Cricetulus griseus: one gene and its partners. The protein of the gene in region 5 interacts with the protein of the main gene of each other region in a biochemical or structural test. Links are inferred from orthologs where the notes say so. Each region holds a gene or a part of one and is shown on either strand. Other genes may lie near its edges.

Region 1 (3,959 bases), on a different chromosome or scaffold from region 5:
TGTGGCCTCACACGGGTACATCCAAGCCCAAGTACTCAGGGTTCTCTGCCGTAGGGGTCCCTTCAAAGGTACTTGGTGGAGACCCCCGCTCCGATGGGTCCTGGTCCCAGTAATAGAGGTTGTCAAAGGCTGGGCAGAAGGCGGGAGAAGGGTGGGGCTGAGAGGCAGTGCCTCCTCTGGGTGCTAAGTACTCGGGGTTTTCCACAGCACCCCCAAAGGCAAAAGCGTCTTTGACAACCCCATTCTTCCCAGGAGAGAGAGTCTTGGGTCTTTCTAGAGTAGCACCAGAAGGCCGCACAGGAGGCAGAGGGCCCTCGGGGGCCAAGGGAGGCTGAGGCCGCACCTCTGGCTGGTTCACATATTCTGCAGGAGAGAAGAAGAACTGTTAGGGAAAGGAAACGGGATTTCCCTGCCCCACCATTACCTCTCAGTGGGTGTAGCCTGAGGGGTCTCAACTCCCCTCCTCCCAGTCTCTCAGGCCTGGATTCCATACCGGGCTGGGGGCTGCAGGCCAGGGGAGCAACGTAGCCGTCAGTCTCGGTGGGCGGGGGTAACGTGGGATCCTCGCTGTACCGCTGTAGAGGGCTGAGGTCATGTGGAGAGATGCTCTGCGGCCCTTTGCTAACCCCCATTCCCAGTTCACCATCAAACACATCGGAGCCAGCCCCTTCCGAGGGAGCCAGTGGAGACCTGGGGGGCTCTTCTTCTGAGGGCTCCAGGCCCAGTGTCAGCTCGCCTCCTCCACTCTGGAGTAAGAGAGGGTCATGATGGAAGTTACTCAAAGATCTGGGAGGGGACCTTGGGGGGGAAATGACAGGGTCCCAGGAGGAAAAACACAGGTCACCTTGGAATCATTATGGAGGCAATGGAGTCCCAAGGGTTGGAAGGCAGTAATGGTAATGGGATCTTAAGGAAGTGTGAATGTGGGGGAGCAGTCAAGGGAAGGGACCCTGGTGTTCTAAGATGGGCACTGACCCTGGTGGATGAGCTGCGGTGCCTCCGGTGGGCTGTGCTCCCGGTGCCTGGGGCAGGGTCTGGGCAGAAGAACCCCTGCTGGGGGACCAGATACTCTTCCGCATCCACCAGGTCCCCCATGTCCTCATCCTCCAGCAGTGAACGGTAAAAGGTACTGTCCAAGGGGCTGGACGGGCCCAAGTCCTCATTCTAGGGAGGAAGGAGACACAAAGTGACAGCCCTTCCCCAGCCTAGCGTTAGTTCCCAAGAAAGGTTCACCAAGCTTAGACTAAAGGTGGGGGCTGGCTGGGCTGGGGGACTTGGCATCCAGGTGTGCCCTCCCTCTCCTGTCTGCAGGAGGGAGGACACTGTTAGGGTAGGGATGAGGTCAGAAGGCCCAGTACCTGGATGACCACAAAGCGCTGGGGGTCCCTCGCCATGCGGGAGAATTCTGACACCAACTCCCGGAATCTCGGGCGACATTCAGAATCTATCATCCAACCTACGGTGAGAGAGAGCTCAGCATCCTTGTCCCAGGACCAGGCTCAGGACCAGCTGTGCAGCCCCTTCCTGCTCCTCTTCAGTCTGGCCTAGACAACCCTGGCTGAGCCCAAAGTCCTCACATAGCAGAGGAGCACAAGTGGACCCTGGATCCTGAGCCAGAGCCCTGGAGCATTTTTCCTAGTTTCCCCTTTAAGCTGGCCTCTCTCCTCTAGACAGCCGTTGTCCCGAGCAGCTAGGACATCTACTGTGAATGGGATGAAGCACCTTTCGAGGTTCCTTCAAGGACACCCGAGGCCATTCACATCTCACTCCCGCCCCCCCCACACACAGGTCAGACCACCCTTCCGCTACACCTGAGGTTCGGCCCCTCCCACCACGCACATTTGACCATAATCATGTAGACATCGATAGTGCAGATTGGAGGCTGAGGCAAGCGTTCTCCCTTCTCCAGCAAGTCAGGTATCTCCCGGGCTGGGATCCCATCATAAGGTTTGGCCCCAAAAGTCATCAGCTCCCACACAGTCACACCTAAGACAGACAGGCATCAGGAGTTGGGGGAACAGGATCCTTAGATGCGCATACAAGGGGAGAGGCTGTGCCAAAAGGTAGCATCGGCCTGGTCGCTTCATACTCCAGGTGGGCACAGACCCCCACAGGCTGGACATCAGCCACCCCCCATCTCCACCCTCATTTCTGTACCCATATCCCACCCTGCCATGGCTTCTATCCAGCCCTCCCCATCACCATCTCCACACACCATAGCTCCACACGTCACTCTGATGGGTGAACCGCCGTCGAAGAATGGATTCCAATGCCATCCATTTGATGGGCACCTGGGAACGCAGAGCAAAAAATCCTGAATGGGTGTGGTAGGGAGGTGACCCTTCTCAAAGCTCTCCCAATGGGCGGATACCACCCCACCCACCTCACCCCAACCCCGCCCTCCTCCAACCTTGCCCCCATCTGCATGGTACTCTGTCTCATCAATGTCCAGCAGCCGTGCCAGCCCGAAGTCTGTAATCTTGACGTGGTTGGGACTCTTGACCAGCACATTCCGGGCAGCCAGGTCCCTGTGCACGAGCCGTACATCCTCCAGGTAGCTCATCCCCTGAAAAATGGGCATCAGTGTGGAACCTGAGTCTGTATCTCACCTTATCGGCATTCCCCATCCTTTTCTGGCCCCAAATGAGGGTAGGGACTTGCACCCAAAGGACCTGCAGAGTCAGAAGCCCCCAAGCACATACCTTGGCAATCTGAACACACCAGTTGAGCAGGTCCTGGGAGCCCAGGCGACCTCGATGTTCTCGGACATGGTCCAGAAGGCAGCCATAGGGCATGAGCTGTGTTACCAGCTGCACTGTGGATGTCAGGCAGATGCCCAGGAGGCGGGACACATACGGAGAACCCACACCAGCCATCACATATGCTTCCTGCAGGCAAGCATACACTGAGGGATACAGGAAACCACCTACTCCCTCCCACCCACCATACTCCCCTCCTGGAGACCCGCCCCCATCCCTGCAGGGCCTGCAGACCAGGAAGAGTAAGAATCAAGGTTTAGGACCTCCATCCCAAACCCTCATCAAGAGAAGGCAGCCCAGGTCTACAGCTAGGGGGCGTCTCACAAGTCCCAGTGGAGAAGGTGACCGGCTTACATCTAGGATTTCTTTGTTAGCTTTAGGGGATGTGTTTTCCCTCAACACCTTGATGGCCACGGGGATTTTCACATTCTCCCCATCTGGGATCCAGATGCCCTGAGCAGAAAGAAATGGGCTTGAATCAGGCCTGTGGTCCAGATCCTGCTGGTCCCCAAGAAGTCACTGATGAGCAGCCTTCCCCACCCTCCAGCCTGGTCCAGTCCTCTGTCTTGACCATGCTCCTCAGGCACAGCCCCTCCTCCAGATCCACTCATGCCAGAGCCTGGTCCCTCCTGACCTTGTAGACAGTGCCGAAAGCTCCGGACCCAAGCACCTTCACCTTCCTTAGCTCAGTCTCTTTTAGGATCCGCATCTGAGCCTGGTTGGGCATGGCTCCGCTGGGCGTCAGCGGCTCCACTAGCTGGAGTGAGAGGGTGGCGTGGTGAGTGCCAAGCAAGCTACAGATGGGGGGTGCGGCGCTAGGAGGCCCTCACGGCACCTCACCTCAGTTTCCTGCAGCAGCCTACGCATTGTATACTTTCGGATCTTCTGCCGTCTTCTCTTGATTAGGATTCCAACAACCACCCCTATGACCAGGAACAACAGGATACCCACCACGGTTGCGATGATGGACGTCGCTGGGCTGAAAGCAGAGCCCAGAATCAGAGATTAGGACTAGTCTCGGGAGGAAATTTGAAGAGACCCCATGAAGGGACAGGAATGTGCCTTGGCTCAAAAATATCATGGGAAGTCGGGCAAGGTGGCACATGCCTTTTATCCCAGCACTGGGACGCAGAGGCAGGCAGATCTCTGTGAGTTCAAGGCCAGCCTGGTCTACAGAGTGAGTTCCAGGACAGCCAAGAC
Region 2 (3,959 bases), on a different chromosome or scaffold from region 5:
TTCATGGTTGCTACACAGCATGTGATTTACCTGCATAGTTGCTATGCAGCATGAAATTGGGGTAAAGAGTGAAGCATGAAGTCCTTACCTCTTTTCCTCGAAGTCCAGTCCCCAGCAAGTATACTTGACTTTCCTCCTGGTAACGGATCTGAATGTTGTAAACTTTGTCTTTGTACAATACCATGAGGACATATGGGTTGCTTACTGTTTTCTTAGAACTATCTCTTACCAGGAAAGTACCATCCTAGAAGAATGGATGCTTGTTGTTAATGGGAGCAGCAAAAGTCAATCCTTTTGTTGCTGTTAAGAGACAAGCCTATGGGGCAGACAAAGCTATCACTTGTAAATTGACACTGAGTTCTCCTCAGAGCTGGGGACCCCAGGTACTCTGGGTCTTTTGATTTCTAAGGAAGACAACTGGGATTGCATCTGAAATTTGCAAGTTAACATCTTTGGAGCTTTTTGTTGCTTTTGGTTCTGGTTTTAGTGACAGGGCTTCTCTTTGTAACCTTGGCTGTCCTGGAACTCACTCTGTAGACCAGGTTGGCCTTGAACTCATAGAGATTCACCTGCCTCTGACTCCTGAGTGCTGGGATTAAAGGCATGTGCCATCACCGCCCTGCTTTTGAAGATTCTTACTATACATTTTTTAAGTAATAAAAACAATCAGTCGGTGAGTAATGCGCCACAAGAAGTAAGGAGGCTTACTTACCATATACCTGCTCACTTCTGTTAGTTTTCTAAACTTGCCTTTCTACACCCTCATTATTTGCCTGTGAAGTGCACTGCCCTTTGTCCCACACACTTGCTGTGTTTAGCTTTTACCCATCTCACACCTGAACAAAAGTGAATGTGGACTTTGTATATTCTTGTCACCTCTTTCCCCTTTACTTTCTAAAATGTGATTTGCTCTGTATTTTACATTTCATACAAGAGTTATTTCAATGTAATAAAACATGACAAAGATCTAATAGTAAAATAGAGCTAATTAGAAAGACCAATGTAAATCACTCCCTCCTCTATGTACTTAACTAGAATGGGTTTTAAATGGCCATCAATATGCAATAGCACTGTTCCTTTGTTCCTTTTGCTCATAGTTAATTGAGCCATTGAGAACATAGCTGATAAAGGAACTTCCCTCTGGACCAGTGAGTCACAGGTTTGGCTTGAATTCAGGATCACCTGCGGAGCCTGAAGACTCCCTCTCAGCCCACCCCACACTTATTAACACAATCGCCTCAAAACTCAGGAACCCAAATTTAAAACAAAACAAAACAAAACAAAAACAAAAAACTACCCCAGATGACCAAATCGGCTGCTGAGGCTGGAAATGGTTGCTGTAGCGTTAACAATGTAAAGGCTAAAGGGTTGTTGTTCTCTCATCTCTGACCCAGGAACTCAGGGTTAAGGGTTAGTACTGGAACATGAGTAAGACTTTATAACATTAAGACTAACTAGAAATTTCTAGAAGACTTTGCAGATATGCTTTCATCATGGGTCTTTCTCATGATCTTGAATGGCAAACAAGTGTTAAGAGGAAGATAAATTAGTAAGATGTCTGAAATGATACACGATTCCTTTGACAAAAAAATAGAGACACACTCATTAATGAAACTGCCTAATATCTGCCAACTGACGGATAGTGATGGCTTGGAGGAAACATTCTATGGATGCTAGCGGGTAGGATGGTAGCACTAATGGCTCTTAAAGGAACAGCACCTAGCAGCGGGAACAGCAGCTAGTTCATACTTGAGTGCCAGTGCATAGCAATACCCTCCCCTTCCTCCACTAACATGTATAACTGCATAAACATAAAGCATAGAATGATACCTGGTTTATCTTTCTAAGAGCAGCTTCTGCCTCTGGTCGGGTGATATAAGAGACATACCACTCTTCATCTAATGGAATCTGCAAATAAATTTTAAAAGCACTGTGAGTTCTATAGTTACATAAGCAAAGTGAAAAGAAACAAAAAGGAAAAAAATACTATTTCCCATAAATCACCACCTCAATTCTCGAGACTTAGAACATTTGTTTTCTTGACTTGAGTCCTTTAGATGGGGCTGCATGGAAAACATTTTGTGCAAAGTGCTTCCTTAGCATGCCACTGACTGCAAAAGCAGCTGTGAAGGAAGGAGCCTCCCTTATGTAATGGAGACTTTGATCTAGAAAGACAGAGATAGACGAACTCTCCAGCTTATTATATAGTAGTAACATAATCAATGAAAAATCTGTTTTAGTGGAGCAACTATGAGACTTATTCATTCAAGGCTATAAGCCAGGAAACATGAAAAACTGGGCTTATTTTTTTATCATTTCTTAATGCCCCTGGAAGACGGTGAGAGAACACTAAAGAGAACATTAGTTTTCATTTACATCTTCCCCTCAGTTTTTGGTTTATTGTGTGTGGTGCTGTGGATCCAGGGCAGGGCTTCACCCAATGCTAGGCAAGGATTTGACCACTGAGCTATACAGCTGCCCTCTTAATTAAATGGCAATAAAGCTCTAACAGAAGGCACAAATAGAGCAGAGCAGCTTAGGAGAGTTTCTTATCGTCCCTTTGCTAGGGAGAAAAGCAAACAAAATTAGAAACAGCTGTATTACCTCTTCTTCTTCAGGAGATGGAGGCTGTGGCCTGTTTGGAACTGGCATGGATAAGTTTCTGCCTTCATTTCTGAGAGGTGGTCTATTGCTGAGACCTTTCAAAGCAAAATATTTTGAAAATTAATTTAGTGTCGGCCACTGTTTTCTCATCTCATAGCACATCCATCACAGATACCCCCATGACAGTAGGGGCATTCATTTTTCAAGATTATGAGGTTGGAGGGAGCCTGCATGGGACTGACCTAGGCCCTCTGCATATATGTTACAGTTAGGTAGGTTGACCCTCTTGTGTGACTCCTAACAGCAGGAGTAGGGATTGTCTCTGACTCTTTTACTGACTTTTAGAACCCTATTTCCTCATACTAGTTTTTCTTGCCCAACCTTAACACATGGGGAGATGCTTACTGCAACTTGATATGCCATGTTTTGTTGATATCCAGTGGGAGACCTGTCCTTTCCTAAACAGAAATAGATGAGGAGTGAGTGGACTGGGGGAGGTGGGAACAGAAGGAGAGGATGGGGGAAGGACTGGGAGGAAAGAAGGAAAGGGAAACTGCCCCCAGGATGTAAGATTAATTAATTAAAAAAGAATATGAGGTTGGAAAAATAATTTCTACTTCTCTCATAATATGAGGGCTGTTTGGGCCATGTTCCATACCATGCTGGAGAAACTTTGAGAAAAGACCCTGACATTTCAGTGAACCCCTAAACATGCACACAACATAACGAGGGCCCATTTATAAAAATAACCACATTGTTTGACTGTGTGCCTCAATATGAACATGCCAAAAGCAGACCTTTCGTAGATGCCTGCCATCACGGCACACATGGAATGCCTCACCAACAGCTCTCACATTGGCAGCAGAGAAGAGCTAATTATGTGCTCAGTGTCTTCACAGAAAGAAAGGGAAGGGCTTGAGAACAGTGTTACTTTAGAGCCAGTGTTTGCTGTGGTCTTTCTGTTTGTTTTCATTTTACAATTCCCCAAGATGTAGAACTGTTGGACTAGAAGGCACCATAAACTGATCATTTGCTTTAAAATCATCCCAGTGCAGTCCTGTCTCACAGACCTTTGCTAGAACATGGACCAATAGCATCAATGTCCTGTAGGAACTTGCTAGAAATGCCATCTCAGGTGACACCCAGCCCTCCTGAATTAGATCCACTTGAACATGATTGCCAGGCATCTGTATGTACATTGAATGTTGAGAACATTCACAGTGGACACTCAGTGGCAGCATCATTAGAAAAGGAAAGCCTCTGGCCTCTCCTACTAACTCAGAAACTTGTGTTGTTTTTCTGAGGCATGATCTCATGTAGTCCAGGCTGGCTGCAAACTTGCTCTTTAGTTTAAG
Region 3 (3,959 bases), on a different chromosome or scaffold from region 5:
TCTCACAGCATTCAGCACCCTGAGGACCAGGCCATGCCCTCCTCTCTTCCAAGCCCTGTTGGGCTGTTATGCCTGGGTCATAGATTTAAGTGCCATGTCTAACAAAATGGCCGAGGCACTCACTGGGTGGCTGCCCAAAGGAGCTGACTCTGATCTTCAGTGGCCTAATGAATCCACATCAGAAAGGCTTCTGTTCCTCCAGCCTGACCTTGAGGACCAGCTGGTGTGTCTGGTGGGGCAGTCATAGAGGGCACTGCCCAGGGCACTGAGGTGAACATGCAGGTCTCCCTGGGCTCCCTGAGCCCTGAGTCTTCTCTGGCCCAAGGCTCCAGCCTCCCTGCTACCCAGTCAGTCTGGATGAAGCCCCAGCCCCTGTCCTTCCCCGATTAGCAATAGCTGCTGTCTTCTGGGAACTTTCGTCTTCCTCCTATGTCCTCTTCCTGCCCTCCTCTGTTCCCCAGGGAGTCTTCCTCTGGCTTACTCCACATTCTTTCCTTCTTAGGGTCACTGACTGACATCTTTGTCCTCTCTTCACAACAGCCCCCACATCCTGGTCTTGCAAAGGGAGCCTGCACCCTCCAGGGACCCATCAGAGTCATCCCAGGTCTCTGTGTAATAGTACATGGTGTCCTGACCAGATGTCACACAATGACTTTCATTCTGCCTTTACTCAGGCCCAGAATGGGTCTCTATATGGCAGGCTGTGCACATTTTGTTGTGCCCACTTGCTCAGGGATATGTGTGCCTATAAGAGAGTGTGGGAGAAATGAGGGCATTTTATTTTAGATATTTATTTTATTTTTATGTATGTGTTTATGTGTGCAACTGTATTCCTGAATGCCATGTGTGGATGCTGATGGAAGACAGAAGAAAGCATTAAATCCATGGGATTTGGAGCTACAGGTGATCGTGAGCCCCCTGACATGGGTGCTGGGAATGGAACGCAGGTCCTTTGGAAGAGAAGCAAGCTCACTTAAGCTCTGAGGCGTCTCTCCAGCCCCAGTAAGGATATTTAAAAAGCTCACTCATCTTCTAAGGGCAGGTGACAGGTATGTACATAGACAAACATGTACAAGGCTGTGTGGGGCAGCCTGTGTGTATGAGTGTGTGTGTGTGTGTGTGTGTGTGTGTGTGTGTGTCTGTGTATGTACAAAATGTCTTTTGAAGCTCTGATTTCTCTGACTTCTGTATCCTATAGCCCCACTCCTTACCACTTCCTTCCCTATTACTCCCCCACCCCGCCCCAAATCCACATAGTTTGCTTCCAGACAGTTTGGTTTCCTTGAACTTCTCAGAACCCACTCCACCTCTAGGCTTTGGCACAGGCCTCCTTGGCTGCGACACCATGCCTTCACAGGCTAACACCTGGTCATCTTTCGGTATTTGATGTAAAACTTCTTTTTCCTGGGATATTTCCTCAATCCCAAGGTTAGCACAGGGCTCCTTCTGTCTCAGGGCTGCTCCCTGGAAGTAGTGTTCCAGTGTAGGCTGGCTCACTCCTCGTCTGCCTCCTCCCTCTGGACTGACCCACTGGCCTCTGTACCCTAGTGAGTTTGGGTCCCCATAACTTACTGAATAGGAAATAGGTGGATGATGAAGCATGCATACATGTGAAGGCATGGGTAAGTGGGAGATATGTACACACATCTGGACTCTGGCAAGCACTGTTCATATGTTGCACAATAACTGTACATATATGTGCAGCTGCTAATGTTTGTACATTGTCTGGAGGCGTATGTGTACAGAGTTGTGCTCAGTGCTTTTTTGTTTTTATATGTTGCAATTGTGTGAGTACAAATATGAACCATGCCAATGTTCACATTTGCACAGGAACTGTGCATGCATGATTTATGCACATGTAGGGGGTTTGTGCTCCCCACCTGTACATGCATACAGACATTCATTTTGTAGATTTACATGCAAGTCTTGGGTTTGGGCAGGCTTATACACACAGCTCACAAAAATATATCCTGCAGTTTTATATACATGGACAGCGTTGTGCATGCTTGAGCACATGCTAACACGAGTGTACTCAGGGGATTAGGCATCCTCAGCACAGATTGCATGTGCACATGAAGAGTGTACACCCGAGTCCCAAGATCAGCCTACTCATGTTCAGAGTTTACAGCATGCATCATGCATAACAGTTCATTTTCCACACTTGAGTCAATGCTTTTCATGTTTGTGCACTGGTGTCCACATCATATATTGTGTATGTGCATAAGGACATACTCTGGTGGGTTTTGTAATGTTACTATAGGCTTGTGAGCATGCTCACTTGATCCATTTTGGGCATGCAGGCACGGTAAAGCAGGATCAAGGAAGGAGTGAGAGGTCATCAGAGCCACCCAAGGCTGGGGCACTCACAATGTGGTACCACGGTGACCTCCTGCGAATCTCTGCCCATTGAGTTCTGCAGCATACAGCGTACTGACAATGGCTGATCCACATGACGCAGGCGCAGTGTGCTCACCACCTCATATTCCTGTTCTTCTTCCCAGAAAGTCACATTAGTCTCTAGCTGGTTCTCCTCCTTGGAACTGTTCCCCAAGGGTGTGGGTGACAGCTTTCGTGGACACCTGCCAGGAGACACAAGGAGATTGGCGTACAGTCTCGCTTAGTTCTCCCTCTGCATTTGGGGAAACTAAGTCTTAATTTCTATGACTGCTTGGTCCTTAAGTAGGTTCCTACTGTGTTGTCTAGAAGGACCAGCAGGGGGAGCTCCTACTCCAGAACTGAGACTCCTCAATGGCAAAATTCACTCATTTGACCCTCAGTGTGTCAGGCAAACCCTGAACTCTATCTACTACACTCAACTCTGGTCAGAGATATAGAACAACTACTGGATGAATTAGACCCCTCTGGGGGCCAAACCCTGCACCTTCCTGGGTTGAGGATGGCTCAGGGTCAGGGTAAGAAAAGGAGCAATTTAGGTTATGCATGGTATCTTCAGGAAGGCAGAGGACTGATCTAAGATGTGGCCTGGGCCTCTCAGCGGGGAGAGGTTGATCTAGGTTAGCCTACACTGGGTCATTCTAGGCAGCTGTGGGTACTCTGGGAGGCTGGAGCTCAGGTGTGCTCACCTTTTGAGGTCTCGGCAAGTAGACCACGTGACATTTGGCTGAGGCATGCCCCGACCACGACAGCGGATTGTCTGCTCCCCATTGGCAGGGTGGCTCTCACTCAGCTCCAGCACACGGACAGGGACTGAACAGAGTACAGGGCAAGGAAGTGGGGTGGTAGGAAAAGACCTCAGGGGAACATGTTCCAGAGTCCCCCCACTCCCCAACCCCTAGGCAAGGGACTACAGGGGAGCATCAGACACCAGGAGTCACAGTGTGAAAAATGACAGGTTCCTCTCAGTACTTCGAAGGGCAGGGCTCAGAGCCTGTCTTTAACATCACTCTGAGACTGTCTTTTCCCTTAACAAAGAGAGAAGAGGCCTGGAGCCCAGGGTCCTGGGCAGCCAGGTTCATAAGGCTAGACTTTGACAGCGTTGTTTTGTTTTCTCTGAATTTATTTTAGTGGTTGTTTTATATTTATGGCATATGACACTGAGTTTCCATCTACAACGAGATGCTAAATTTTGTCTTTCAAAACAGACTTATTTTTAGAAAGCTAATTGACAAAGCATTAAGTCTTTATCATGTCATTTCTATGCTCAAGTCCCTGTCATGGCTCTTCATTTCAGTCACAATGGAAGCCAAAGCTGTACTAAGCCCACAAAGCACTCACCCAACTATCCCCTCCATCCTTCCTCCATTTCTGCCCTGACCTCATGACCCACCCTCCATATATGCCAGCACCCTCTGTTCTGGTCACACCCGCCTTCCTGCTATTTCTCTGGCAATGTGACAAGGGGAGACGCATGATCTGGAGTGCCCTTCTCCAAATATCTACTTGTCTAATGTCCTCTGCTTCTTCGAGTCTTCTCACAATTGTCACCTCCAGAATGAGGC
Region 4 (4,690 bases), on a different chromosome or scaffold from region 5:
TGTCCTGAAACTTGCTCCGTAGACCAGGCTGGCCTCAAACTTACAGAGATCTGCCTGCCTCTGCCTTCCCAGTGTTGGGACTAAAAGCGAGTGCCACCACCACCCAGCTTATTTTCCATCCTTAAAAAAAATACGTTTATATATTCTCTCTCTCTCTCTCATCTATATACCTATCTGTCTATTGACCAATCAATTACATGTTTGTGGGTGTGTGTCTGCCCTATTTTACCATCTTAAGTGCTATGTAGGGGTGTTTTATCTATTAATCAGAATGACAATAAGACCACTCAGAGCACTTGCCACCAAGCTAGTTGACTTGAGTTTAACTCCCAGGATCTACACAGTGGAAAGAGAGAACACACTCTCAAAATTTGTTCTCTGACATACACATAAAATTATAAAAGTAAGAGAATATAAAGGGAAAACACAATACCCATGAGGCTTCAAACTCTGTCTCCCCACTATTAGGTGTGTAATCTTGGGTCACTTTAAGAGCTAAAATAATAAACGTTTATTCTCCCTACTTCTCAAAGTTAATAGTAAGTCTGGATAATGGAATACAGAACTATAAAAACCCTATACTGGGGGATTGTATAGCCACAGTGACCATAAAATGCTTCTAAGTAGATCTCTTAACAGAATTACTTTAGGAGCTGGAGAGATGGGTCACTGGTTAAGAACAAGAAGGGTTCAGAGCAGTTGGGCTCCCAGCACCCACAAGGTGATTCACAACCATTTGTAACTCCAGTTTCAGGGGATCTGTTGCTTTCTTCTGACCTGCCTGGTGTGCAGACATACATGTTGGCAAAACAGTCATACACATTTAAAAAAAAAAAGTCTTTACAAGAAAAGATAATTGTTTTACTTTTATGTTGCTCCTAAGGCTGGCCAGAGCAGGAGAGAGGTAGGGTGTGTGTGTGTGCGTGTGCGTGTGCGTGTGCGTGTGTGTGTGTGAGGCGGGGGCGGGGTGGGGATAGACTAAAAAAAATCCACAAGCGAAAAGGCACCCAAACTCGAATAGGCTTTAAAAACCGTGTTTCCAAAGCTAACTACTTCACAAGGAGCCTCTCTACACTCCACTGGCCCAGTTTCCACAAGTCTCAGCAGGAGCTTGGTTGGGCGGAGGTCCACACTGGCCAATAGAATCAGCTGTGTTCTTACAGGTCTCGCAGCAGGTGGAGAAACTGAGCAAGAAAAATTACTTAAACGTGGGCTCAGCCTTGCGCCGTGGTGTGGGGCGCCACAATTGGTCCCCCTCTACTAGCAGGACCGGAGAACAACGTTGGGGGCCGAATTTCTTAATCCTTTCGCCCAGCAATCTCGTTTCGTAGCACTTCCACTGCCCGCCGAAGTGTGCAGGGGGGTGGGGTAACCCCTGTGGTTGTCCTTTATTGTCTAGGGAGCACCTGTCAGGTGGCTGGCCTGTGCCTAAAGCGCGCGTGGCGCCAGGCTTCACAAAGCGCGGGCAGCACCTGCGTGGCCAGGAAGCCGCCTGGGGCAGGAGGACCACCGATGGAGGAAGAATGACGGGAGGAAGAGGATCCGGGATGGATGGCCTGTGGGTGCTCGAGGTCTCAGAGGACACAGCGCCCCCGGGATCAGCATATCCCGAGAGTCCCGGGCACCAGGCAGCGAGAGGGAGCGCGACCCGGGAGGGAGGAGGGAGGGGCGTGGCCGCGCACTGGGGGAGGGCTGGAGGAGGGGCTGTCGCGCGCCGCTAGTGGCTCTGGGGGCTCGGCTTTGCCGCGCTTGGTGCACTTGGGCGAGAGCTGTAGCAGAGAGAGGAGCTCAGAAACTAGCGCAGCCACCGCGATGAGAGGCGCTCGCGGCGCCTGGGATTTGCTCTGCGTCCTGTTTGTCCTGCTCCGTGGCCAGACAGGTGGGAGAGCGCGGCCGACTAGAGGATTGCACCCTCCACCCCGTGGGCACAATCCTGGGTCTGGGAGGGGTGTCACCAGGCGGGGTGCGTCCAGAGTGGTGGCTGTTGGCTTTTCCACTGCCTGTGTGTTACAGCCAGTGCGAAGGTGGCGGGCGGCCGCGGGACTCTGTTGGTCCGCCTCGCTCACCTGCGCCAGGAGCCGGCAGCGGCGGGCGGTGGAGACCCGGAGCCGAGAGTCTTCCGGGAGTCGGGACCGCGGGGCTGCAGGCTGCGGGCTAGTTTGGCGATGCTTTTGTGCGGACTGAGCACGGGTGGCAGTGGCTGGCGGCCTGGGGCTTCGCACCGAGAACGTCCTCTTCCCGTGCGAGGCGCGGCCGCGGCTTCCTTTTGTTAAAAGTTGCGTGTGGGTGACCTGCGCCCGCGAGGATGAGCCCGCGGGTCCCCGGACGCGCGCCGGGCAAAGTTGGAGAGCCTTTTTCTTTTTTTTGCTCTGCGGCCGCTGCTTCCCCACCGCGGGCGGTCTTTGTGTACAGTGCTGGGGACCCAACCGCAGTCGCTCTAGTCGTGCGCAGCGCTACCCGCGGAGACGAATCTCGGGCGTGCTTGTACCCCCTCCCCCTATTTTTTTTTTGCACGGGGGACACGCGGCGCGCGGCTCTGGGGCGGGACCCCGCGAGCCTGTATGTGGCGGCTACGGGGACAACTTGAGCCAGGCGTGTGGCGAGCAGCCGCTAGGTTGCAGACTTTTTCCTTTTGTAAATCTCGTGCTAAAGGCTCGCCCCTCTCTGCAGCCGCACGGTGTACATTGCTGCCACGCGCCGGGGAGCTGCTGCAGCCTACGTTAGCCGCCAGCTCCTGGGAAGGAGGGACCTCGTGCGGGGACGCAGCTGTTCCTTGCCGCCTCGTGCGCACAGTATGAGGGACCAGGCAGCCCGCCCTAGCTTTGGAAACCCCTGGTCTCAGTGTATGAGACTTGTAGTCGCAGGTGGCCGTTTTCTTTGGGAATCCCGAGATCTAGACTCCCCCTCTCACATGATAACCATTCTCTGGCCTCATGGGGTGGGATGGGGCAGAAGAGGTGAACTTCCTGCAAATCCCATTTGTTTCTTCAAGCTGTTACGAAAACCATGGTACCTCTGCACGGGAACTTGGGTCTCAAGGTGGAGGATGTGTAGTCTCCTGGAGCTCCTTAGCCCTGCCCCTTTTTGCCAGGTGTCGCTGGTGGGCTGCCTGTGCGGGTCGCCTGGCTCTGGTCATGAATCTTTGGTCTTTTCCAGGTCGTTTTCAAAACAAAACCCAGAAACCCTTTAAGGTTACCTTGATGCTATAGGCTAGAGAGAATCTGCGCTCTGGAATGAAGCGTCCAAAGGCCAGCAGCGCTGTCTGACCTGTTTGGAGCCCGCTGCTGGCTATGTTTCCCAGATCTCACTCTCCCGATGCTTTTGAAAGGCCCGGGAGGGCTCTGTGTGTGCGTGGTGTGTGTGTGTGTGTGTGTGTGTGTGTGTGTGTGTGTGTGTGTGTGTGTGTGTGTGTGTGTGTGTGTGTGTGTGTGTGTGTGTGTGGTGTGTGTGTGTGTGTGTGTGTGTGTGTGTGTGTGTGTGTGTGTGTTGTGTGTATGTGTGTGTGTTTACATCTAGACCCCTGCCCCAGAGGAGGGGTCACCAGGGAACGCAAATGAGTGTCCAGATTCCTAGGCGTATTTGACTGCTTAGCTGAAAATGACCCCAGCGATCTTTGTGTTTTCCACCTTGTCCTGCTTTAGACCAAGATGGAACACCAGGAAGATCATAGTTCCCCCTTAAAACCTGAAACGTACCAATGGTTTGTATCTTCCTCCTGATTAGTGTGCTCTGACCAATAACTTTGGCAAAGAGAATCTGAAGGTCTGTTGCCTGGCAGGCAGTGTGTCCTAATGACAAACCCTTGTTCTGCCCCACCAGTTTCAGGTCCCCTTTTCATACCTACAGCCTCCTTGGTTATGTGCCCTTGGGCGGGTCATTTAAATTAGGAGGGGTTGGTGCCTTCAGTTTTCCGTGTGTGTGTGTGTGTGTGTGTGTGTGTGTGTGTGTGTGTGTGTGTGTACTGTTCTGGCTTAGCAGGAAGCAGTTTTGTGTTTGTTTACGTTGTGATCTCTTTGGAGGGCTAGCAAGTGCCTGCTCTGTAGTAACCCCTCCTTCTTCCTGGGCATTTGCAGCTTTTACAGCTCAACAGGATGGTCCTGAAACAGTGAATCAGATCTTCCCCCCTTTCCTGCAGGTGCAAGACCCTAGTCATTTATGCACCTGGTCTTGGCTTATGATCCTACTGGAAATAATCTGATAGTTCTGTAATAAAGAGATCTCAGATAATTCACTTTCCCCACCCATCCGTGGATTTCTTTTTTCTTATGACGTTTTAAATCATGCATGCCGTGCTTTTGCAACACGCTTTCTAATGTGCCTTAAATATCGTATCATGGGTGTGCTTTGTGCATACGTGGGGCTTTATAATCAGCAAATGTCTGCCAGACCTCATGCTGAGGGCTTTCCCTGCTGTTTCCCTACTCAGGGAGCCCAGGAGGTTGGACCACTACAGCCTCTACTATTTTCCTATTGGAGACAAGTCACTTGCCCAAAATAATCAGTGAAGAAGCCTGAGCTCAGCTCCATATGCCCACTGTGTATCCATTTATACAACTTGCCAGAGTCTGACATAAAGTAAGATGCATACAAAAATATTTAATGAGTACTTACTATAAGCCCAGCCCTGTTCTGAGCCTTCGGGGCTACAAGACAGCTGATTTTGGTATAAGGGCTTTAGGCTACCTGTCTT
Region 5 (3,959 bases):
ACTTCGTGGTGGTTGTGTGGTATATGATGCAGGCATTTCCCCCAGTGGAAGTTCTTCCTCCCACATATAGAAACTGTTCTCGCTGGGCGTTGGTGGCGCACGCCTTTAATCCCAGCACTCGGGAGGCAGAGGCAGACGGATCTCTGTGAGTTCGTGGCCAGCCTGGTCTCCAGAGTGAGTGCCCGGATAGGCTCCAAAGCTACACAGAGAAATCCTGTCTCAAAAACAAAAAAAAAAAAAAAAAGAAAAAAGAAAAAGAAAAAGAAACTGTTCTCAAGTTGTGGATTTGTGACACAGCTCTCCCTACTCTGGTTCTAGAATCAAGTAGAATGCCTCATCTTCCTGCATTCCCCATACCTTTTTACTTCACTGAACCATGTGCCTGCATTTTTCTCATTTTTGCACTCAGTCACTCAGTGGGTACTGGAAGGGCTCTGCCTGCCATGGAGTATGAGAAACACACATTTCATAGCAGTATGAGGCATTGAGAGGACAGTTAATGCAGGATGGAGCTTCTCATGGGATCTTCAGTGGAAGAGAACTCAGGCGGAGAACCTTGCAAACCAGGCTCCAGGATGAAATGGGGTAGGAAGAGTTGCTGTTGCTGTAGGTCTGCCTTGGTTTGGAAGGATCACAGAAGAGGGCAAGACAAAAAGCTCCAGAAGCTCTGAGCCCTATCATGAGAACTTGAAAGGCTGTGAAGGGAGTGGGTTCGTGGTGGGTTAGCAGTGATACCTCAGGAGGGGAGTGAATGGGCCTGTAGGACCAGGCATCCAAACAATGGTTTATGGTTCAGAAGAGTAAGGAAGAATGGGGAGTTGGTGAGAATTATGCCCACCAACAAGGAAAGTCAGGGCTTTCTGCTGGAGGATAGACCTGAGGGCTTTGCTGGGGAGTCAGTACTGGATCCAGGTACAGCCAGTGCTGGTTGTGGTAGCAGAGCAGGGGATAGGGCCAGAAGTGATGTTACTGTTCCAGGTGGCACACATGATGCTCCTGTGGCTGGCTCAAGGGACAGCACAGAAAGACTGCAAGCTGTTGGTTGGGGCCTTTGGAATGTTCCAGCCATGCTGATGTTTGGAACTAGAATCTAGTCGGAAGGAGGACTGTAAGAACATTTTTTTAAAAAAATTTATTTATTTATTATTATTTATTATGTCTGCATATGTATCTGCAGGCCAGAAGAGGCCACCAGATTTCATTACAGATGGTTGTGAGCCATCATGTGGTTGCTAGAAATTAAACTCAGGACCTTTGGAAGAGCAGGCAGTGTTCTTAACCGCTGAGCCATCTCTCCAGCCCCTGTAAGAACATTTTAAGACCTTCCCAAGCTAAGGGGAATCTCTCTTCCTGGGCTATCTATTTCTGTCCATGCTCCAGGCTCATTCAGGGATGGTCTAGGTGTGTTCAGTCAGGGCAGCTGTGGCAGGACCAGATCTACGAAGGCTCAGAGTCCACATCTGAGCACGTGCTGGCTGAGGAACCTCTCCATCCATGTGGCATACTCAGCTTCTGCTCTTTCAGCATCATTTTGGTCTGTTGTCCTTACCACCCTTCAGAAGTGGAGCAGGGGATGTCGGGCAGTTGTCTCTCTGCCAAGACTCACGGTTAACCTGAGTCCATGTAGCCTCCCATTCCACTGTCCTGAGAAACCGAATCAGACCCCTACCTCTTTAGTTGGTGAGACTGCAAATGGGAGGCATTAAATGTGCCACTAGCTTACAGTTGCTCTGTCTTGTCACTCCAGTTAGTAGCCCGAAGGATCATTCACCTCTCAGGCCCATGTACTTGCCTCACCTTTACTTGTGAGAACAGGGGAGCAGTTGAGAAGGCTTTGGTAGCTGAGATAAGGATACCAAGTTGTGAGTGCCGAATGCCTGGTGTTCTTGAACAGCCTTGGCCTTAGCCAGAACTAGGCCTTTGCTAAGACTGGTGTGGGCATGTCTCTGGGGTGTGGGTCGTTTCAGGATTTGCCAGTTTTCTGGACCTGATCCAAGGTTCTGTCTTCGATTCTGAGACCAATCTAGACTTGCCCAGCCTTGCCTCTGGGACTTTACAATTGGGTCTGTGTGTGTATTGTGTTAGAAAGAGATTCACAAGGTACTGCCTTGGTTGGATCCCTGTTTCTCCTTCTGGAGTGGAGTCCAGCTCTGCTCCAGGTACAGGTTATAGCCTATACTCCTAGCAATGGAACAAAGATAGGGAAGGGATAACACATACACTTACACATACACTTACCTCCCTGTCCCCAAAGAGCCTTAGCCTTGCCTTTAACACACACACACACACACACACACACACACACACACACACACACACAAAAAAAAAAAAAAAAAACAAAGGCCTACTATTAGATAAGCCCAGCTCTCCCTATCACCTGGGATAATGTGAGTGGGTTCAGTCTGTCTCTTTGTGGCCCAGTCCTCGAGGGAGGAGGGTGTGGAAATGACTGAGAAAAGCACACCTTTGATGCTGGCTATGAGGACCTCAGCCTGACCTTGGCCTTTACTACCTTTCCAGTTGATATCCGTGAGATCAAGGAGATCCGCCCAGGGAAGACATCGAGGGACTTTGACCGCTACCAAGAAGACCCTGCCTTCCGACCAGACCAGTCACACTGCTTTGTCATCCTCTATGGGATGGAATTCCGCCTGAAGACCCTGAGCCTGCAAGGTGGGAGATGGGATTAGAGGAGGCAGGGTGTGGGTAAGGGGAAAGCCTGGCTGCCCTTGCTCTTGTGGGAGGATGTGCCCTTAGCTCAGCTTTTGCTCTGCTCACAGCTACATCTGAGGATGAAGTGAACATGTGGATCAAGGGCTTAACTTGGCTGACGGAGGACACACTGCAGGCAGCCACACCCCTGCAGATTGAGAGGTGAGACTCATCTTCATGGGTTAAAAGACCAGATGTCTTGGACCAGGTGAAAGGAGGGAGAGACTTGAGGCCTCTCCACACACAGTAACTGCTCTGCTTCCCGGGCTTTCTCTTAGTTGGAGAAGGGACCCTCACCTCAGGCTTCTTTCTCTCTAGGTGGCTCCGGAAGCAGTTCTATTCAGTGGATCGGAACCGTGAGGATCGGTAGGTACTAAATTGGAGGTGTGTGCCCAGCCAGTAGATAGAAGCACCCAGAGCAATTGTGCATTTGAACTGAGCTACCTTGAAGGGACCAGCAGCTCTGACACAAGTAGTTCATTAGAGTGGGGCACACTGCTACTCTGGGTCCTAGAAGGGTGGCTGACAGTGCAGCCAGAAGGACCAAGAGCTGGAGGAAGCAAAAACCAAATGGCATGCTCCATATGTAACTTGTACTGTTGCAAGGCTCTCTGAGAGTCCTAGAGTCAGGAAGTCATGGGAGGTACAGAGTGACCTGTTCTGGCTTCGAGTTTGCTCAGTGTCCTCAGTAGGGTTACTATTACTATGATGAAACACCATGCCAGATTCAACTTGGAGACGAAAGGGTTTGTTCAGCTTACATTTCCATATCACTGTTCATCACTGAAGGAAGTCAGGACAGGAATTCAAAACGGCAGGAACCTAGAGACAGGAACTGATGTGAGGTCATAGAGGGGCGCTGCTTACTGGCTTGCTCCCCATGGTTTCCTCAGCCTGCTTTTTTACAGAACCCAGGACCACCTGCCTGGGGTGCCCCCTACTCACTCACAGTGGGCTTGGCCTTCCCACATGTATCACTAGTTAAGAAAATGCCCTGCAGGCTTGCAATAGCTGGATCTTATGGAGGTATTTTCTCAATTGAGGCTCCCTCCTCTCCCAATGACTCTAGCTTGTGTCAAGTTGACATAACACTAGCCAGCACACTCAAGATCAGACTGCTGAGTGGAGAGCTGTGAAGACACTGTTCCACAATTCTGGGTGGAAGATGAGAGGGCTCAGATTGGGGTAATAATGGTAGGAATTAGTTGGACTTGGGCTATATTGTTTAAAATTATATTAAAAAGTTT
Region 6 (3,959 bases), on a different chromosome or scaffold from region 5:
CTTTGGCCTCACTTTTCTTTCAGGAAACTTAAGCCAACAACTGGTACTACTATGATTTGAGCTTACCAAGCAGGGCTAACTGCAGAAAGAGCACAAAGTTAAGTAGATCAAGGGTGATCAAGGGGGCAAATGGACCAGAACTGCTTGCTTGCCTTAGTGCTACAAATATATCATATTACTGTCTCATTGACATCTCAAGACAACCCTAAAAGGCAGAAAATGTCTTCCATTTTTAAGATGAACTCTTGAAATAACTTCTCAGCTTGAATGTTGAACAACATACCGGTATAGATCTGATTCAAGCAAAGTGAGTTGCCGAGCAATTTCTATTGGGTGTAAGGTGAGCAAGTCAAAAGTCTCTATGTGCCCAGGTCTGCTTATGTGCCACTCAACTGTGGGAGGTGAGCTCTGAAATGTAATATTAGGACCTGGGCCATTGTCTCTTGCAATTTTTTTCCTTTGGATTATCTTAGTGATGGATTCGACCCATTTTTTCATTGCTTTACCTGAAATACATTTTAACAAACATTTAAATACTCTTTAATACTTTATTTTTAAATATGTTTAAAGTAATACAAGTGATACACGAATAAATCATTGCTATAAAGTCAAATGTGCAAAGTAAATACTAAGAGTTCCCCTCCCCCATCTTCTCATCCTTCTCCAGATAGGTAACCATTGTTAATAATTTGGCATGTATCTAGACCTTTCCTAAATGAATGTAAAAGGTAATTTGATTTTTCACCTCCAACACTTTGAACCTTAGTTCAAAATACTATTTTTTATAATTCTTCCATACAAGGTATATTCCATACAAAGATTAATAAATTACACACATTCACAAGTCTAATTAATATTGTATTTTATAACCCATTTATGAGGACTGATCGATCATATTAGTCTTATTTGATGTGGCTGTCTTTTGTACTGTACAGGAAAGTAATCTATTTAATCCTTTATTTTCTGATTTTCCTTTAGACTGAACAATGGCTATAAAACCAAGTTTGTCTAGGGCACCCTTAAAGTCACACAGTCACAGAATTTTTAAAGTAAAGGAAACTTTGTGATAATCAACCCTAATTTCTTATGAATAAACTGAAGTCTAAAGAACCAAAATTATGTATCTGGCTAGTAGTGATGGTAGGTAGTAGTAGTCTGTCAGTGTAATATGCTACTTGTTCCATTTACCTAATCATATACCTTTATCAGTGGTGCTACAATGGTTAAAAAACATTCCACCATCTACTGTAGGTAGCACATAGTTTCAATTAAGTGGTCTAGCTTAAACTGACACCTAAAAGACCCAGTTCTAAAACAGATACAAAGTATACTGAGTCAGCAGGATCACTGCTGAGCAATTTACAAGTCTCAATAATGGTTTTTTGTTATTGTTTTGTTTTTTCAGACCTAGTATCACTACTGTAGTCCTGGCTGTCCTGAAACACACAGAGATCCACCTGCCTCTGCCTCCTCAGTGCTGGGATCAAAGGTGTGCACCACCATACCCAGCCAAAGTGATGTTTGATGAGAAAGTTTAACATTTTCAAATGAGCTATAATGTATCAATTGAGGGTAATCATATTGGTAATTTTATCACATATGCAAGTAGGAAATTAGAAACATACCTCTTACAGTTCCAATAAATTCCTCCATTCTTTGTAAAAGGTCTGCATCTCTTTCAAAGTCATAAAAATGGTGCTCCACCCAGTGCCGACACACATTTAACACTCTGTGGCATTAACACAACTGGATTACATGGGGTCTTACACTGAGTGTACACATGAAACAAGAGCAGCCCTTACCAATAAACAATCTACTAAAGCTGATAACTCAGAGAAGACTCTTAACTAACCCACTTGGTCTGCCTCCTTCACCTGACTTAGGACTTTAAATGCACATTGAGAAGCTGTGGTTTCTATGAGGCCACGCCCTCACTACTCACCGCAGCTGGACAGGCTGAATGTACTCCTTTCTAAACCTCTTCAGCTCTGCACTCAGTGGCTGATCTCCATTTTCTAGAGCTATTCGATCAGCTTCTGTTGGCTCAGGCTCCGGAATTTCAAATCTACCATGAAACAGAAAAAAAAAAAATTAATGAAAATATTGTATCAAATTCAGATTCACAAACTTTTATTTATACTTATCAGTATAATCAAGAGACTACTATAAAAATTACTACAGATATACAAGGCTTTTATAATGTAAAGGCTGATTACATTTTTTTAAAAAGAAGTTAATATTGCCAACAGAGTTAAAACTAACTAGAAGCAAAATAACAACACATATAAAGTCTAAAACAAATGGGACTAATGTTAATTTTTAGTCTGTAGATTACTCTAAGGGTAACTAGTGCTTGAAACTTGATTGCCCTTTGGATAGATGAAAAACATTTTCCTTGATAAAAGCATTTGCTCACTGACAAGATTCATTTTTATTCAATATGTAGTATATTTGAAAATTTGTTTAGAACTTGTGAAGCATTAAAATCTGAATTTCTAGTGTGTCATTATTTTAAAGGTGTGGTTTCACGTAGTTCAGGGTAGCCTTGCACTCCCTATGTAGAGTCAAAGATAACCATGAACTCTGATTCTGTTGCCTCTACCTCCCAAATTCTTGGATTATAGGCTTATGTTTAGCCTAGAGTCTAAATCATACATATTTATATATTATTTAGTTCTTTAAATTTGAGCTGGGAATACTGCTTAGATTGAACCAAAAGCCCATGGCTCAATCCCAGTGTAGCCCAAACCCTGAAAAGTTGTAATTTTAAATACTAAATAAATGAGAAAAAAAAGAGAGAGAGAGAAATCTATTTAAATAATCAAAATTAGCATGGTTTTGTAAACCCAGTAGTAGTTTTATCTTAAACTCAACTACAGTTACACTTATTGCAACATTTTTAGGAAATATGTAACTTAATCCTTTCCAAATCAAAGAATTCAGACATATAAAATGGACAGACCGTTCTATTATAAGATTCAGTAGTTCTTGAGGTTTGCAAAAGGATCTGTATGTTGTAAGAAATGTCCGAACAAAATTGGGATCTGAAAAGGAAAAGGAACAGTATTAAAGTCTCAGGTAAACAATGATTAAAACTATTATTTTCAGTTTCAAAAGAGATCAAAGACTCAGTCTCAAAAGCGCCCAGATATTGCGAGGTGTTGGTGGCGTACGCCTTTAATCCCAGCATTCAGGAGGCAGAGGCAAGAGGATTTCTGTGGCTGTGATGACAGCCTGATCTACAGAGTGAGTTGCAGGACAGGCTCCAAAGCTACACAGAGAAACCCTTTCTTGAAAAAAACAAAATCAAAGCAAAACAAACAAACAAAAAATGCCCACATGTTTTACCCATATATGGCTTTGAACTTTAATGTATTGATACCTTTGGTGCCTCCTAAAGCAGTGGCTTTAGAAAAACAAAAACAAAACAAAACAAAACACTGATTGTAAAATATGATCAGCTGATTTCTTTTCCTGTCTCAAATTTATCATTGGCAAAGGAATGTGCAATGGAAAAAAGCAAGGACAGGGACTTGAACCAGGTTCCCTTTTGCTGCTAGGATCTCAATGTGTCACCTGTTGGGTCACCTACCTAGTAGAGATAGCAGTAACAATAGCCTGTCCATTTCCTGACATCACTTTAATTAACTATGTTTCCTAACTTCCGGTAAATCATGTTAACAGAGCAAAGAACTAGAAACAGAATCTTACAGAGTAGTAGGGTTAGCTAAGTAGTTAATGGTTTTGATTGCCAGAGGCCTTATTTTTAACTGCTAAAAAAGGGTCAAACCCCTCTAAGCTATAAAAAAGACACGAGATGGCTCAGTAGGTAAACGTCCTTTGCCATACAAGCTTGGGGTCATCGCATCCCAAAAGCTGTCCACTCACACACACACACACACACACACACACACACACACACACTGCTTGTGCCACACTCATGAACATGTGTGAACAGA
Region 7 (3,959 bases), on a different chromosome or scaffold from region 5:
AGATCTGGCCCCTCAACGCTGTTCTTGCCTTGTGTGTTAATTGTGGGTGAGTTGATTGGTCATGTGGCACAGAATGAACCCATGTGCCAGCTCAGGAGCCAGCTGAGTGAGTGTCAGCATGCTGAAGGCAAAAGAGCACTAGAGCCTTGCCCAACTCTCTGATCAGCATGGACACTCCATGCTTTTGCCCCTGCATTGCCCTGTGCCGCAGACTCCCTGCCCCTGTGTGGTCTAGCTGATGTGCTCTAGGCTGGACTGTTGGACTCTGTGCAGGTCAATTGTACTATGTACAGACAGCCTCCAAGGAAGAAACATAACTAACATTCCCTCAAATCTACGTGGGTGCTGTTCTGGGCAGGAACAGTAGAGCTAGAGCACAGCTTCATACCTGGCTCTCATTAGCCAGCTCTGGGTGCTTTAGCCCTGCTCTCCTTGCCTCATGCAGCAGCCCTATTGCTCTAAGCAAGGCTGCCATGGCCTTCTTAGGCCTCTGGTCCAGGCTCCACCCTTTCTTACTGTCTTTTGAAACCTCAATCTACTCCCTTTCTTTGTGTGGCTAGACTTTCCCTGGAGTGATGCCCCAAGACTGGTCAGTGTACCAGTGAACGTGTCTGTATTGACCCCACAGAAAACCCTAGGGAGGGCCATCACACCAGCCCCCGCTTCCTGTTCTACCCCCTGCAGTCTCAGAGGTCTGACCCCAAGTTGTACAGGGCCTCTGAGGAGGGCCCCAGAGTGGAGCTAACTGGTGGCTTTGTGGCTCACCCTGCTGCTGCATTGTCCCCAGGGCCCCTACGCTTTGTGATCATCCACAAGCGCTGCATCTACTACTTCAAGACCAGCACATCTGCCTCTCCGCAGGGTGCCTTCTCCCTGAGTGGCTACAACCGGTGAGTGTCCATCCTGTCTGCTGACCAACCCCATGCCAATTGCTTTTCCTCTCACCCTAGAACACACGGTCCATCCCTTGCTTTCCTGAGATGGTTTTAATCTGCTTGCTGGCTGTCCCCTCATATTCTGGCCTTTCCTAAGGGAAGGGGGTGGGATAATATGTGTGAGGTGAAGCCTTTATTAGGGCTTCTAGACTAATGGGCAGGTATAACCTGAGTTAATGCCTACATATTGGACTGTTGGTCATCCTGATTTTATCCTGTGGCCTTGGAGGCTGTAGGGGCCTAGGTTCTATGCCCTGTAGCATTAGTCTGAGCCTTTCACCACCCCATAAAGGACCCAGCCCTTCTACTTATTCTAAAGTTGCTCTGGGCCCCTGCTTCACCCTGACTATAGCCTTGATGAGACAGCCTTGCCAAAGTAGCCAGACCAGGTCCCTAGTCCAGTCCTAGGCACTAGCTAATCAAAACTCTCCCTAGTCACTTTTCCCAGACTGGTGTGCCAGCCAAGCCATGAACTTAGCCCACTGACAGATGTGACTGGGCCCTAAGGATTGTCCAACCCATTTGATGGACTAGGCCTGAGAGGCCCTGGCTAAGACCTGTGATAGGCCAGGCAGGTACCCTGTCCAAATGCCCAGCCAGCAGGACTCACCCAGGTAGACTGATGTCTGAGAAAGCGTTGTATCGGGAATCAGGCCACAGAGCAGAGAGGCAGTCCAGGAGCTGCATGGGACAGAGTGGGGGAGTAGTATCTCTATGAAATAACACTGAGGAGCAATGAGAGTAATGGGGCCATGTCTCTGAGTTCTGCACACTGCTCTCCTGGGAGGTCTGCACAGACCCTGCACTCATACTCTGCTGTTCCCCTGAAGCATCTAGATAATCTACTGAGAGCATGAGCAGGCAGAGACTGTCCAGATTTGTCGATATTCCCCAGGGCATGATGCTGAGTGCTGAAGTCAATTCATGGGTGGGGTTGATGATCCAATTTCTTGAGAGTGGACAAGCTGGTGACTTTTGGCACTGTGACTTCAGAGTTATGCGGGCAGCCGAGGAGACGACATCCAACAATGTCTTCCCATTCAAGATCATTCACATCAGCAAGAAGCACCGCACGTGGTTCTTCTCAGCCTCCTCTGAGGATGAACGCAAGGTGATCAGCAGGTAGCAGGGCCTCAGGAGCCTGGCAGAACCTGCCTGAAGGGGCGCATTGATCACCAGGATCTGGCCTCCCGTCGCCTCCAGGCTGGAGGCTAGGACCTGGAGGAGAAAGACCTGGTTGGTGTATGGGCATCTGGGTGGATTAGACCCACAGCCTGGTGCCTGTACACACCATGAGACTGTCCCAGCAGGGTATAGCCTGGAAAGGGCTGAGGGGCAGCTTGCAATCTGAGGGGGTGATTTCAACTCTGAGCCACACAGTCTAGGCTGGACCTAGCTAGGTTCCCCTCCCTGGACCTTGGTGGTTACTGCATAGCAGGGAGACCGTGGTCAGAGGAAGGTGAAGTGGGACCCTATTCTGGGCAGCATCATATTTACTATGGCTGTTCCTGAACCACAGAGCTGGATGGCCTTGCTACGCAAGGAAATTGGCCACTTCCATGAGAAGAAGGAGCTACCTCTAGACACCAGGTATGCCAAGGCATGTGATGGGTGAATGGTAGTCCCTAGGGCTTCTTGATTCCTAGGGCTCCCTTCCAGTCCCTGGAGGAGCTTGGCTATAATGACTTCCATAAAGGCTTTTGTGGAGGTACCAGGTAAACTTCATGTATGTGGAAGCATATACTGCTTACATGATCATGCATATGTGTGCTTGCAACATCTTTATTCTTGTCAGTCTTATAGCTCTGACTGTGTGTCATTCTGCTGTACTTATTTGTAACTCTTGTTTGGGGCTCATGTGCTTTTCCCCTCCCCTACTATGGAGGCCCAGCACTTACAGCTCAGGGCTTTCGATTCCCAACTCCCTGTGTCTACTTTGTCCCTTGGGAGCTCAGTCATTCCTGGTCTCTGCATTCTCACTTGTGAGATGATCCAGCAAACAGCAGGGGCACTTTCACTATCATAGTGAAACTGTGATCTAGAGAGGGCTGGGAACCCCCAAGGGTGCCCTGAGGCTCTGGACTGAATTGAGAGCACCTGGCTATTGGTCTAGCCTAGCATCTTGCAATATCTCAGTCCAGGGTTGACTGCGCCTCACTGGACAGGAGGCAGACATGTAGACCCAGCTCTGAGGCATCTAGCCAGTAAGGGCTACAAAAAAACACAGTCAGGCAGAGAGGTGGTACCCATAGATGGTCCCAAGCCTCCAGTCCCTATGTCTGTCCTTCCTTGAACCACGCATATGTCCAACTGTCTTTCTTTATGACATTTTTCTTCTTTTGTCTATATACATGTGTGAGGGGTTGTCCTTGTATCTGTATGTGTTCATATCTCTGTGTGCCCATGGGTCCCCAAGTGGATGTTGACATCTGTGGTGTGGGGAGTGTGTGTGCATGGGTCACTTCCTACATGCAAGGGCACCACTGGTCTAGTGCTCATTGCCTGTTCCCTGCTCTGGGTTTCAGTGACTCTAGCTCAGACACAGACAGCTTCTACGGTGCAGTTGAGCGACCTGTAGATATCAGCCTCTCTCCATACCCCACTGACAATGAAGGTAAGACCTTCTCTGCACCTGCCATATATCCACTTGACTGCTGACAGTGAACCCACTTGGGCTGCCTAGAAGGAGAGAAATGTATGTTTAGCTTTGCTTGTATGTCCTCTGACAGAGTGATGTGGCTTCTCTGCCTCTGACCTCCACCAGTGTGAGTTCAGGTTTCAAATCCTTCCTCCTCGTCTTCAACCCCGTCTCCCGAGTGCCCTGTTCCCAAAGCACAGTGGGTCATGCCATCCGTTTCTGCATGGAGCCGCCCTGGGCTATGTTGTGTCTCATCTTCCATTCATTACATGTAGACTATGAACATGAAGATGACGACGACTCATACTTGGAGCCTGATTCCCCGGGACCTATGAAGCTTGAGGGTAGGTAGGGTAGCTGGGTCTGGGAGTTTCTTGGTGGGTAGG

What was found.
Region 1: the proteins of Plcg1 (region 5) and Erbb2 form a complex in vitro, tested with the Homo sapiens proteins (2 studies listed by BioGRID and IntAct, with this or other methods). The link is inferred for Cricetulus griseus from reciprocal best matches to the Homo sapiens genes PLCG1 and ERBB2.
Region 2: the proteins of Plcg1 (region 5) and Lcp2 form a complex in vitro, tested with the Homo sapiens proteins (2 studies listed by BioGRID). The link is inferred for Cricetulus griseus from reciprocal best matches to the Homo sapiens genes PLCG1 and LCP2.
Region 3: the proteins of Plcg1 (region 5) and Pdgfrb form a complex in vitro, tested with the Homo sapiens proteins (3 studies listed by BioGRID and IntAct, with this or other methods). The link is inferred for Cricetulus griseus from reciprocal best matches to the Homo sapiens genes PLCG1 and PDGFRB.
Region 4: the proteins of Plcg1 (region 5) and Kit form a complex in vitro, tested with the Homo sapiens proteins (3 studies listed by BioGRID and IntAct, with this or other methods). The link is inferred for Cricetulus griseus from reciprocal best matches to the Homo sapiens genes PLCG1 and KIT.
Region 6: the proteins of Plcg1 (region 5) and Sos1 form a complex in vitro, tested with the Homo sapiens proteins (2 studies listed by BioGRID and IntAct, with this or other methods). The link is inferred for Cricetulus griseus from reciprocal best matches to the Homo sapiens genes PLCG1 and SOS1.
Region 7: the proteins of Plcg1 (region 5) and Sh3bp2 form a complex in vitro, tested with the Homo sapiens proteins (2 studies listed by BioGRID, with this or other methods). The link is inferred for Cricetulus griseus from reciprocal best matches to the Homo sapiens genes PLCG1 and SH3BP2.

What each region holds. Positions count from the first base shown.
Region 1 is NC_048600.1:111,557,368-111,561,326, reverse strand, and holds part of Erbb2 (receptor tyrosine-protein kinase erbB-2), read right to left. Parts: intron 3,739-3,959; coding exon 3,600-3,738; intron 3,517-3,599; coding exon 3,394-3,516; intron 3,213-3,393; coding exon 3,114-3,212; intron 2,889-3,113; coding exon 2,703-2,888; intron 2,567-2,702; coding exon 2,411-2,566; intron 2,292-2,410; coding exon 2,216-2,291; intron 1,987-2,215; coding exon 1,840-1,986; intron 1,457-1,839; coding exon 1,359-1,456; intron 1,165-1,358; coding exon 976-1,164; intron 747-975; coding exon 494-746; intron 364-493; coding exon 8-363; 3' UTR 1-7. UniProt on the Homo sapiens protein: Protein tyrosine kinase that is part of several cell surface receptor complexes, but that apparently needs a coreceptor for ligand binding. Essential component of a neuregulin-receptor complex, although neuregulins do not interact with it alone.
Region 2 is NC_048600.1:49,261,841-49,265,799, reverse strand, and holds part of Lcp2 (lymphocyte cytosolic protein 2), read right to left. Parts: intron 2,700-3,959; coding exon 2,605-2,699; intron 1,909-2,604; coding exon 1,831-1,908; intron 245-1,830; coding exon 89-244; intron 1-88. UniProt on the Homo sapiens protein: Adapter protein primarily involved in signaling pathways within T-cells, as well as other immune cells such as platelets, mast cells, and natural killer (NK) cells.
Region 3 is NC_048595.1:178,033,119-178,037,077, forward strand, and holds part of Pdgfrb (platelet-derived growth factor receptor beta), read right to left. Parts: intron 3,208-3,959; coding exon 3,084-3,207; intron 2,580-3,083; coding exon 2,368-2,579; intron 1-2,367. UniProt on the Homo sapiens protein: Tyrosine-protein kinase that acts as a cell-surface receptor for homodimeric PDGFB and PDGFD and for heterodimers formed by PDGFA and PDGFB, and plays an essential role in the regulation of embryonic development, cell proliferation, survival, differentiation, chemotaxis and migration.
Region 4 is NW_023276807.1:142,062,358-142,067,047, forward strand, and holds the start of Kit (mast/stem cell growth factor receptor Kit), read left to right. Parts: upstream 1-1,728; 5' UTR 1,729-1,812; coding exon 1,813-1,879; intron 1,880-4,690. UniProt on the Homo sapiens protein: Tyrosine-protein kinase that acts as a cell-surface receptor for the cytokine KITLG/SCF and plays an essential role in the regulation of cell survival and proliferation, hematopoiesis, stem cell maintenance, gametogenesis, mast cell development, migration and function, and in melanogenesis.
Region 5 is NC_048599.1:18,762,987-18,766,945, reverse strand, and holds part of Plcg1 (1-phosphatidylinositol 4,5-bisphosphate phosphodiesterase gamma-1), read left to right. Parts: intron 1-2,520; coding exon 2,521-2,673; intron 2,674-2,780; coding exon 2,781-2,874; intron 2,875-3,030; coding exon 3,031-3,078; intron 3,079-3,959. UniProt on the Homo sapiens protein: Mediates the production of the second messenger molecules diacylglycerol (DAG) and inositol 1,4,5-trisphosphate (IP3). Plays an important role in the regulation of intracellular signaling cascades.
Region 6 is NC_048600.1:3,663,096-3,667,054, reverse strand, and holds part of Sos1 (son of sevenless homolog 1), read right to left. Parts: intron 3,045-3,959; coding exon 2,963-3,044; intron 2,066-2,962; coding exon 1,943-2,065; intron 1,730-1,942; coding exon 1,626-1,729; intron 507-1,625; coding exon 284-506; intron 1-283.
Region 7 is NW_023276807.1:103,543,933-103,547,891, forward strand, and holds part of Sh3bp2 (SH3 domain-binding protein 2), read left to right. Parts: exon of another isoform or gene 1-46; intron 47-787; coding exon 788-890; intron 891-1,830; coding exon of another isoform or gene 1,831-1,928; coding exon 1,929-2,046; intron 2,047-2,454; coding exon 2,455-2,525; intron 2,526-3,460; coding exon 3,461-3,549; intron 3,550-3,848; coding exon 3,849-3,917; intron 3,918-3,959. UniProt on the Homo sapiens protein: Binds differentially to the SH3 domains of certain proteins of signal transduction pathways. Binds to phosphatidylinositols; linking the hemopoietic tyrosine kinase fes to the cytoplasmic membrane in a phosphorylation dependent mechanism.